Linked DNA regions of Arabidopsis thaliana. The protein of the gene in region 2 binds, or shares a complex with, the protein of the main gene of each other region. Each region holds a gene or a part of one and is shown on either strand. Other genes may lie near its edges.

Region 1 (4,433 bases), on a different chromosome or scaffold from region 2:
AGGTTCCATTTCTGCTTTACTCTTTACACATTCACATACCAATCTTGTTACTCACGCAATCTTCATTCCTCAGGTTACTTACCGGGAAAGCTATACGATCTAAACAGCTCCAAATACGGTTCAGAGGCGGAACTGAAATCGTTAATCAAAGCGTTGAATCAAAAAGGAATAAAAGCTTTGGCTGATATAGTGATTAACCACAGAACAGCTGAGAGGAAAGACGATAAATGTGGATACTGTTATTTCGAAGGTGGGACTTCCGATGATCGTCTTGATTGGGATCCTTCCTTTGTCTGCCGCAATGACCCTAAATTTCCCGGTACCGGAAACCTCGACACCGGAGGAGATTTTGATGGAGCGCCCGACATCGACCACCTTAACCCTAGAGTTCAGAAAGAGTTGTCCGAATGGATGAATTGGCTTAAAACTGAAATCGGATTCCATGGTTGGAGATTTGATTATGTTCGAGGTTATGCATCTTCCATCACCAAATTATACGTTCAGGTAAATCACATATGAATTCTCAAATATCAGACAACAGTATTAGTATATAAGAAACATAGGTTGAGATAATTATTTACTATTAGTATATATAAGTATCATAGGTTGATAGGGTTATTTACTACTATTTAGTATATAAGAAACATAAGTCAATGCAATCAATAAGAAATATATAAGAAAGTTCACTACTGATTATGTGATAAATTCCTCTGTTTTTGGATACACAGAATACATCACCGGATTTTGCGGTGGGTGAGAAATGGGACGATATGAAGTACGGAGGAGACGGGAAACTAGACTATGATCAGAACGAGCATCGGTCGGGTCTCAAACAGTGGATCGAGGAAGCGGGTGGTGGTGTGTTGACAGCTTTTGATTTCACCACCAAAGGGATCTTACAGTCTGCTGTCAAAGGTGAGCTTTGGAGACTAAAGGACTCGCAGGGAAAACCGCCTGGTATGATAGGAATCATGCCCGGAAACGCTGTCACATTCATAGATAACCATGATACATTCAGAACGTGGGTTTTCCCTTCTGATAAAGTCTTGCTTGGATACGTTTATATACTTACTCATCCAGGAACTCCTTGCATTGTAAGTATCATTTTAGTATGTAGCTATACTATTTACAACTACAATCTTGTTGATATGTTATTTTTGTTGCAGTTTTATAATCATTACATAGAATGGGGACTAAAAGAGAGCATCTCAAAGCTGGTGGCTATCAGGAACAAAAATGGGATTGGTAGCACAAGCTCTGTAACGATAAAAGCGGCAGAGGCGGATCTCTACTTGGCTATGATTGATGATAAAGTTATCATGAAGATTGGACCAAAGCAAGATGTGGGAACACTTGTTCCTTCTAATTTTGCTTTAGCTTATTCAGGCCTTGACTTTGCTGTCTGGGAGAAGAAGTAACGCATAACTCGAATCATAAGAAAAGTAATCGAATGTATCTTCTTCCTTTTTAATAAAACATTTTGGCAGTATCTAAAGATATGTATAATGAAATATAAAATGATAAAGAATACCTAAATAAAAAGAGCACTAGTGGTGTTAAAGGATACAACTCCAGTGAAAGAAAAGAGTTCAAGTGAAGAAGTGTCAACTTGTAGAAATAAGTATTGGAAAGTTTCCATCGTTTTGTTTTGTTGCATACAACTAATATATTATATATTGGCCGACTCGTATAAGATTTGGAGCCCTACTAAAATCAGAATTATGATGTCTTAACCACACAATACTGCCAAAATCAGAACGAATTATATTATTGTAGAAGAAGAAAAAAAAAGTATGGTGGGAAGTGGGAACAGTTAGACAGGTAAATTCGAATAAAACGACAGCGTTTTTGGCTAGGACAATAAAAGTTGAAGACGTCGGCTTGAGAAGAAGTAGAAGTGACGACGAAAAGAAAGGGGAAAAAAAAAAGGAAGGAAAAAAGTGAAAACCGTCGGCTTGAGAAGGAACTTTGATATTTGGTGACTCTTGAAAAAAGCAAGCTCTTTCTTCTTCCTTCTTTCGCTTTTTTCACACCTCAAAATCAAAGATCCGAAACACGATTTCGGAGGAAGCTTCGATTCTGTGTGTTTGATTCTTCCTCTTTTTTGTTTTTTGTTTTTTTGTTCTATCCCGTTTCGAAGCGAGCTCTGATTCTCGTTCCTGTCTACTTTTTTTCAGACCTATTTTCAGATCTGAAATAGTTGTGTTTGAGAAGCGGGATTGGTGATCGGAGCTGGAATTTGGTTGGTAATCGGAGGTCAGAGAGAAGTCAACGGATATGCCGGAGGAAGAATCGATAGATATCAAATTCAGGTTGTACGATGGCTCCGATATCGGGCCTTTTCGGTATTCTGCGGCTTCTACTGTTGACTTTTTGAAGCAGAGGGTCGTCTCTGATTGGCCCAAAGGTTAGTTTTAAGGTTTTTTGAATCGGTGCCCCTTTTTCCCCAATCTGATCCTGGTTTTATTCATGATCTTCCCACGAATTTCGTGTTGATTGTCACTGAATCCTGCAATTGTCGGTAGAAATTCGAAATTTAGAGCTGTAGATGAATTATTATTAGCTCATTTGAGATGTTATAAGCTTGATGTATGAGAAAAGCCAAGTCTCTGTGATTTGAGGTTGATCCAAGCATCAATTTTTTTGTGGTTTTGGTTAGGCAAAACAGTTGTTCCAAAGGGGATAAACGAAGTGAAGCTGATAAGCTCGGGTAAGATCTTGGAGAACAACAAGACTGTTGGGCAGTGTAAGACACCATTTGGAGATATTGCTGGTGGAGTCATTGTGATGCATGTTGTTGTACAGCCTTCTCTAGCTAAATCCAAAACAGGTAGTTGTTTGTCTATGTGTAATGTTCTTCATGTCTTTTATATCAGAGAATTCCCGTTTCATGGAGATATATGTGTCCTTAGAGGTTCCTCAATCTTTCATTAGTCTTGTGGTATTTATCTTGTCAACTGTATGGATTATGGTATTCATTTATCTGGCTCAACTTTACGTCTTATAATATCTAGCTCTAGTCATACTTATATTAATTGAGGCTGGTAAGATTTCGTAAGAGTGTTCATGCACATCAGAAAGTTAGTCGGTGACTAAGATCAGTACATTCTTTTTCTTTCTAACAGCCTATGGTACTGACTCAATCAACCTATCAGGTGATTAGTGGTTTTGTCTAAATTTGGTTTGTTTGTCTTGAGAGAGAGTAAAGGATACCCTAGAATTCATTCCTAGGTTTCTGGTGTGTTCTTTGTGTGAAATAAAGCAAAAATCAGCTCTAAGCTTAGCAAAGCATGCCATGAGGAAAGGAATACCTGAATTCATTATTGGTCGTCATCTCCTTGTAAACCCCACTGAAAACTTTTGCCAGTCTTTGAGATTTGTCTGCATAATTTGTTTTTTCACAAACTTGAGAAAGTCGTGGAAAGTGAGTTTGTGATTACTAAGACGTTTGTTGATGAAAGCTAACTAACAGTTGAATACTGGTTTTTGATTAAACAGAGAAGAAGGTTGATAAAGCACCAAAGGCAGTAATCTGCACATGCACCATTTTGTGAAGGGAGGAAGACCAATGTATCTATCATACACATCGTTTCAATTCTTCCGGTACAGAAGAAAACAAAATCAAAAAAAGAAAGCTAAAAGTAAAGTAAAGCTTCCCTTTAAGCTGTGGAGTTATTTATCATCTTTGAATGTGTAGAAAATGAACTATAAATTCTTTTCAAGTAACTCTTTGTCCCTTATTTGTTTTTTCTTCTTACTTTCCCAATGTATGGAAGCTGTATAGGTTACTAGGTCCATTACGTTACGTGTGATGAAGATAATTATATATCTATCTATTTTTAAAAAAGATTGTGCCTTTGTATTTTTCGTTCTTCCTTTCACACCGTTTTAGTATAGGTGAATTTGCGAAATGGCCAAATTCTGGCTGGCCCGTAAATGTAATTAATGAATTCATGAACTCTGAACATCACTTCGAACAGAAAATTCATCTCTTTTTGTTTTAGGTTGGGAAAAGGTAAGAGGATGGAGTTGCGGTTCCGATCAGACAGACAGGAAGAGTAGTGATGGATGAAGGCGACGTAGTCTCGAACAGAGGCATGATGTAATAACACATGATATATGACACAAGTCATAACCTAGCTACTTATAAATACCAACATAAACTAAAAAAAGTCATAACAATGGTATGTACTTATCTACATTAAAAAAAAAAAGAATTGCAGAAAGATGGCAATATGAAACTAAATTGAATCAAACACATGTACTACAAACAATAGTTAAAAATATCAAAACACAAGTAAAACAACCTAGTTTTAACATTTAAAACGAGGAGAAAAAAAACCAAAAAAGGGAGCCAAGCTTTATGCGTGGCGCTAAAAAGATTGGGCTGTTGATGGATAAATTATGATAGGGCCCAATGGAAAAAGAGAGCT
Region 2 (4,026 bases):
TTGAACAATGGAAGGGTACCTACCAATCAAATCAATCTGAAACTTTCCCTTTTCAAAACCAGTAAGTCGATGCAGATCATCCAACAAATTGGATAGTTCGATTTTGCTATCAACTCTGATCCCTCTTGGACTTGACCCTTCATAGAACGGACCATCAGGACCATCTTTAATACAACCATTCCAATAGCAGAACAACGGAATCTTTCTTGTATCCATGAACACCACAAAACCTTCAAATAGAAATAAACCCTAAAGATTAGGTTTTTTTTTGTTGTTGATGCAAAATGCGACATATATGAACTGTGAGTGAGGTTAAAGACTACAAATTTGTACTTAGCACTGTGAAAAATGGTCACTTTGCAGAAGAGAGTTTTTGTAATTTTACCTTTTCTTCCGCCGCCGGCTTCGGTGACTTCGTCGGCAAAAGACAACAGTTTGGTAAAATGGTCTGTTCTTTTTTTTCTCGTAGTTAACGACGGTGTGTCTACGAGATAGTGATTATAAGCTACATATTTGTGGTAAAATAAAATATTGGGAAAGAAAACAAGTCAATGAATATTCCTGACAAAGAAAAAATGAAATGAACAACAACACAATGTTTCTCATCACTCACTAGTAAATAAACTTTAACAAATAACCTTCAAGCTTTAGAATTCCATCTTCAAATTTCAGATAAAGATGATGATAATAAAACCCATAAACATATATAGTACAGACGAAAAAGTTGATATTTTAGACATTTTTATTAAAGTTAAAACAAGAAGAAGAAAGAAACAGACATGAAAACATAAACAGGTGCTGAAGCATACGAATCTTTGTTTAGCCCATGGCATACTTCTGAGTCCAGTTTCTTGCAGTAGCCTCGTATTTGGCTCTGTCGGTTTTGTACATGTGTGCAATCTCTGGTACCAAAGGGTCATCTGGATTTGGATCTGTTAACAGCGAACATATCGAGAGCAACACCTACCAATTGCATAAACATTTCCATTAAAACAGCTAAAAACTAGAGATGATGATCTTACTACATACACAAACATTCAAGAAGCAAAGCTTGTGCATTGAGCAAAATCCTAGCTGAAAATGTAGATGCTCTTGCTATACTTTTGGAACATAAACGAACATTGGAGAACCGATGTTTCTGAAAAATGAGAGTCACCTTGGAAATGGTGAGGGCAGGGCTCCATTGTTCTTTCAAAATGTCAAGGCAAATGCTTCCGTTGCTGTTGATATTAGGGTGAAACACCTTCGTCCTAAATGCAACCTGCAAATAAAAACAAAACAACCAATAAAAGTGTCAAGATTAAGCCAAGAAATTGATTTGATTTGGGGGCAAATACAAGTTTTAATTAGGTCCAAGAATTTCAAGGAACTCTACTAAACCTAAAGTTCGTGGTAATCTAAGAGTTGTTCCAATATTGAATACCTTTGGTGGTTTGAATGGATAGTCCGGAGGGAAGTGAATGGTAACGAGAAACACACCGCCTGAATACGGACTCTCTGCAGGACCCATAATTGTAGCTTGCCAATGAAACATGTCTTCAGCAACTGGACCTGCAAAAACTAAAACATAAGCAAAAAAAACACCACAAACCAAAGAAGGATTCTAGTATTCTACATTTCTCAACTCTTCTAACTCTGATTAGTCTAATAATTAGAGAAAAGTAGAAACTAATAAACTGAAATTCATCATAAAATCTTAAGATAAACATAAGCCAAAACATAAGTAGACAACACCACAACGCAAAGAAGGATTCTACATTTCTCAACTCTGATCAGTCTGAAAAGTAACTTTCACCTTTGTGATCTCTAGAATGCTAAATCTCTGGCATATTACCAGATAATCATAGATAAAGTAATGGATCCAACAAGAAGGAGAAAGATTTGAGATTTTTGAAGTGAACCTGCACTGCAGGAGGTTGGAGGGTCTTTCTGGAGATCCTTCAGCTCCTTCAAGATCCGTTTCGAAGCCATTTTCTCACTGAGAAACCCCTACAAAAAGTAATCCAAGTTAAACCTAGATCAATCCAGCTCAAATCCAGAAACTTTTTCTAATCTGATTGAATCGAACAAGAAGAGACGAGCTTTTTGAATTCCTACAAAAGAAGAGAGCTTTTTCTCGTGTGGGTTAATCAAAAGGAGAAAGCTTTGATACCTCAGAAAGAATCCTCCAAATTTGGTTTTGCGATTCACTCCTGCAGATGATTGGAAGAAAGCAAAACGAAAGAGAAAGTTTTGGTTTTTATGCTTTAAGAAACGGAAGCGAATAATTTAATTGGATAAACTATGATTTATTTTAGTAATAATGGCTGCTTAAGAAATATCTGTAAACATTATAATTTTAAAATACTATCTAATTTTTTTAAGAAATTATAAAGGGTGGGCTATATTTGATTTGACCCCACTTAGATTCCAAATGATTCTGAATCACGATGAATTTTCAATTGTAAAATTGTCCTCTTTGGTACATATTTGATATTTCTCTATTTCTATAGCCAAGTGTAGAGATATGAACGGCTGATTATATTTTTGTAAAAAATAAAAAATGAAACCAGATAACCAATCATAATTAATGAAATTTTATCTAGTTTTTGTGACATGATTATTTTAAATCTCTATCTCAAACTAATGTTTTATGATTCTAATTTATCCATACTAATTACATTTTATCAATAGAATGTAAATTTTATTTTGGAAAAAAAAGAAGTAAAATATCTTTAAATTTTGTAATCTCACAATAGTTGAATGTCATATTATGCGAGTCATCATGTTGTCATAGTGGGATTTGTATTACTGCAAATATCTAATGAACAATAATCAACGAATTAGTTATGGACTAATGAAAAGATAGGATATGCATTAAGATAAACTGGATTTGGTGAAAATTTAATAAGATAACTGGGTTTGGTGAGAGTGCGAGACTATTTGGCTCGGTTCAGTTTTATTCCAATTTCAAAAATTCCAATTTGGCTCGGTATAGTTCGGTTTATATCAGTTTCTATATTTCAATTTGGGTCGGTATAGTTCGGTTTATGTATTCATTCTTTTTGAGATGCGCAACAAGCTCTCACCGTTTCTCCTCCGCCGCTACCACAATTTGCCGTGGCCATGGGAATTCTCAGATGAGAACAATGAGAGCATTAATCGAAAGAGTCTCTCGTCTTACTCTGTGATCAATCTCTCGAATTCTCCTTACCGATAGATGGAGACGGTGTTTGCTTTTTGGGTTGTTTTCCGGTGATCGCATCTTCAATCAGTGGTGGTAATGGAATGGAGAAAGTTTCATCACGGAGATATGCTTATCTGGAAACTCTTACTCATGAGATTAAGATGAAGTTTACACGGGTTTGCCTTTCTTTTTAGTATTTTTTTCGCAAAAGATCGATTTGTGTCGATTGGTTTTGATTTTGCCCAGAAAACACTATTTGATTTCTCTAATTCGAGACACATGCGTTAGGTTATCGAATTTTGATATCCTCAATGAATACTTTTGTTTCAATTTTGAATCGTTACGGTTTCCGATTAAAATCATCTTTATCATGCAATCCACAGGTTGAGATTGTACCTGGTCTCTTGCTTTTTAATCGGAAACTATGAATTATGAATTCCAGAACAAACACACTGGGCTGATTTGGAGGTAGACGAAAAAGAAGAAGCATGTTGGGCCTTGGGCCTCTTAAGCAGGTACAATGAAAGCCCAGCCCAGCCCAAACCAAAACATTTCCTTTGATTGTTTTCTATAAATAAAACGTAGCTTAGGGTTATTTACTTTACAACGTATTGCTTGCGCTCAACGGACTCTTCCCGGAAAGAAGACATAAACCCCTTTAAACCTCCTGCTTTCATCTTCTCCGTGATGGTCAAATCTAACTCCCAGGGTTTGTTTTTTTGGTGGTTTATGATCTCTTATCTAATGTTGTTTTATACCAACTTACTTGGTTCTAAGAAGTTTTTGCTACTCTTCCTTTAGGTAAGCGTAACCCGCAATATGGTTTGGAGGCCAACCCAATTCTCAAGAGACATAAGAAA

What was found. Proteins that work in one complex are often made in the same cells at the same time.
Region 1: the proteins of UBC8 (region 2) and ATGP4 are in contact, whole or in part, in a crystal structure (PDB 4X57), measured with the Arabidopsis thaliana proteins. Residues at the interface, in NP_001190447.1 of Arabidopsis thaliana: Leu7, Leu10, Lys11, Gln14, Lys15, Asp16, Pro17, Pro18, Thr19, Cys21, Ser22, Ala23, Gly24, Pro25, Val26, Ala27, Glu28, Met30, Gln34, Ala35, Thr36, Met38, Gly47, Val49, Leu51, Ala146, Met147; in NP_001329044.1 of Arabidopsis thaliana: Arg12, Leu13, Tyr14, Gly16, Ile58, Ser59, Ser60, Gly61, Lys62, Ile63, Thr75, Pro76, Phe77, Gly78, Asp79, Ile80, Ala81, Val86, His88, Val90, Gln92.

The regions. Positions count from the first base shown.
Region 1 is NC_003075.7:12,849,094-12,853,526, reverse strand, and holds ATGP4 (Ubiquitin family protein), read left to right. Parts: upstream 1-1,716; 5' UTR 1,717-2,081; exon of another isoform or gene 2,082-2,177; 5' UTR 2,178-2,277; coding exon 2,278-2,407; intron 2,408-2,659; coding exon 2,660-2,830; intron 2,831-3,498; coding exon 3,499-3,554; 3' UTR 3,555-3,876; downstream 3,877-4,433. Other genes in the region: AMY1 (alpha-amylase-like protein), read left to right, coding at 1-2, 74-504, 729-1,094, 1,167-1,418. UniProt on the Arabidopsis thaliana protein: May serve as docking site to facilitate the association of other proteins to the plasma membrane.
Region 2 is NC_003076.8:16,674,017-16,678,042, reverse strand, and holds UBC8 (ubiquitin conjugating enzyme 8), read right to left. Parts: upstream 2,202-4,026; 5' UTR 2,153-2,201; exon of another isoform or gene 1,990-2,152; 5' UTR 1,972-1,989; coding exon 1,908-1,971; coding exon of another isoform or gene 1,902-1,907; intron 1,561-1,901; coding exon 1,424-1,560; intron 1,262-1,423; coding exon 1,157-1,261; coding exon of another isoform or gene 1,022-1,156; exon of another isoform or gene 964-1,021; coding exon 820-963; 3' UTR 534-819; downstream 1-533. Other genes in the region: AT5G41690 (RNA-binding (RRM/RBD/RNP motifs) family protein), read left to right, coding at 3,854-3,875, 3,968-4,026. UniProt on the Arabidopsis thaliana protein: Accepts the ubiquitin from the E1 complex and catalyzes its covalent attachment to other proteins. Mediates the selective degradation of short-lived and abnormal proteins.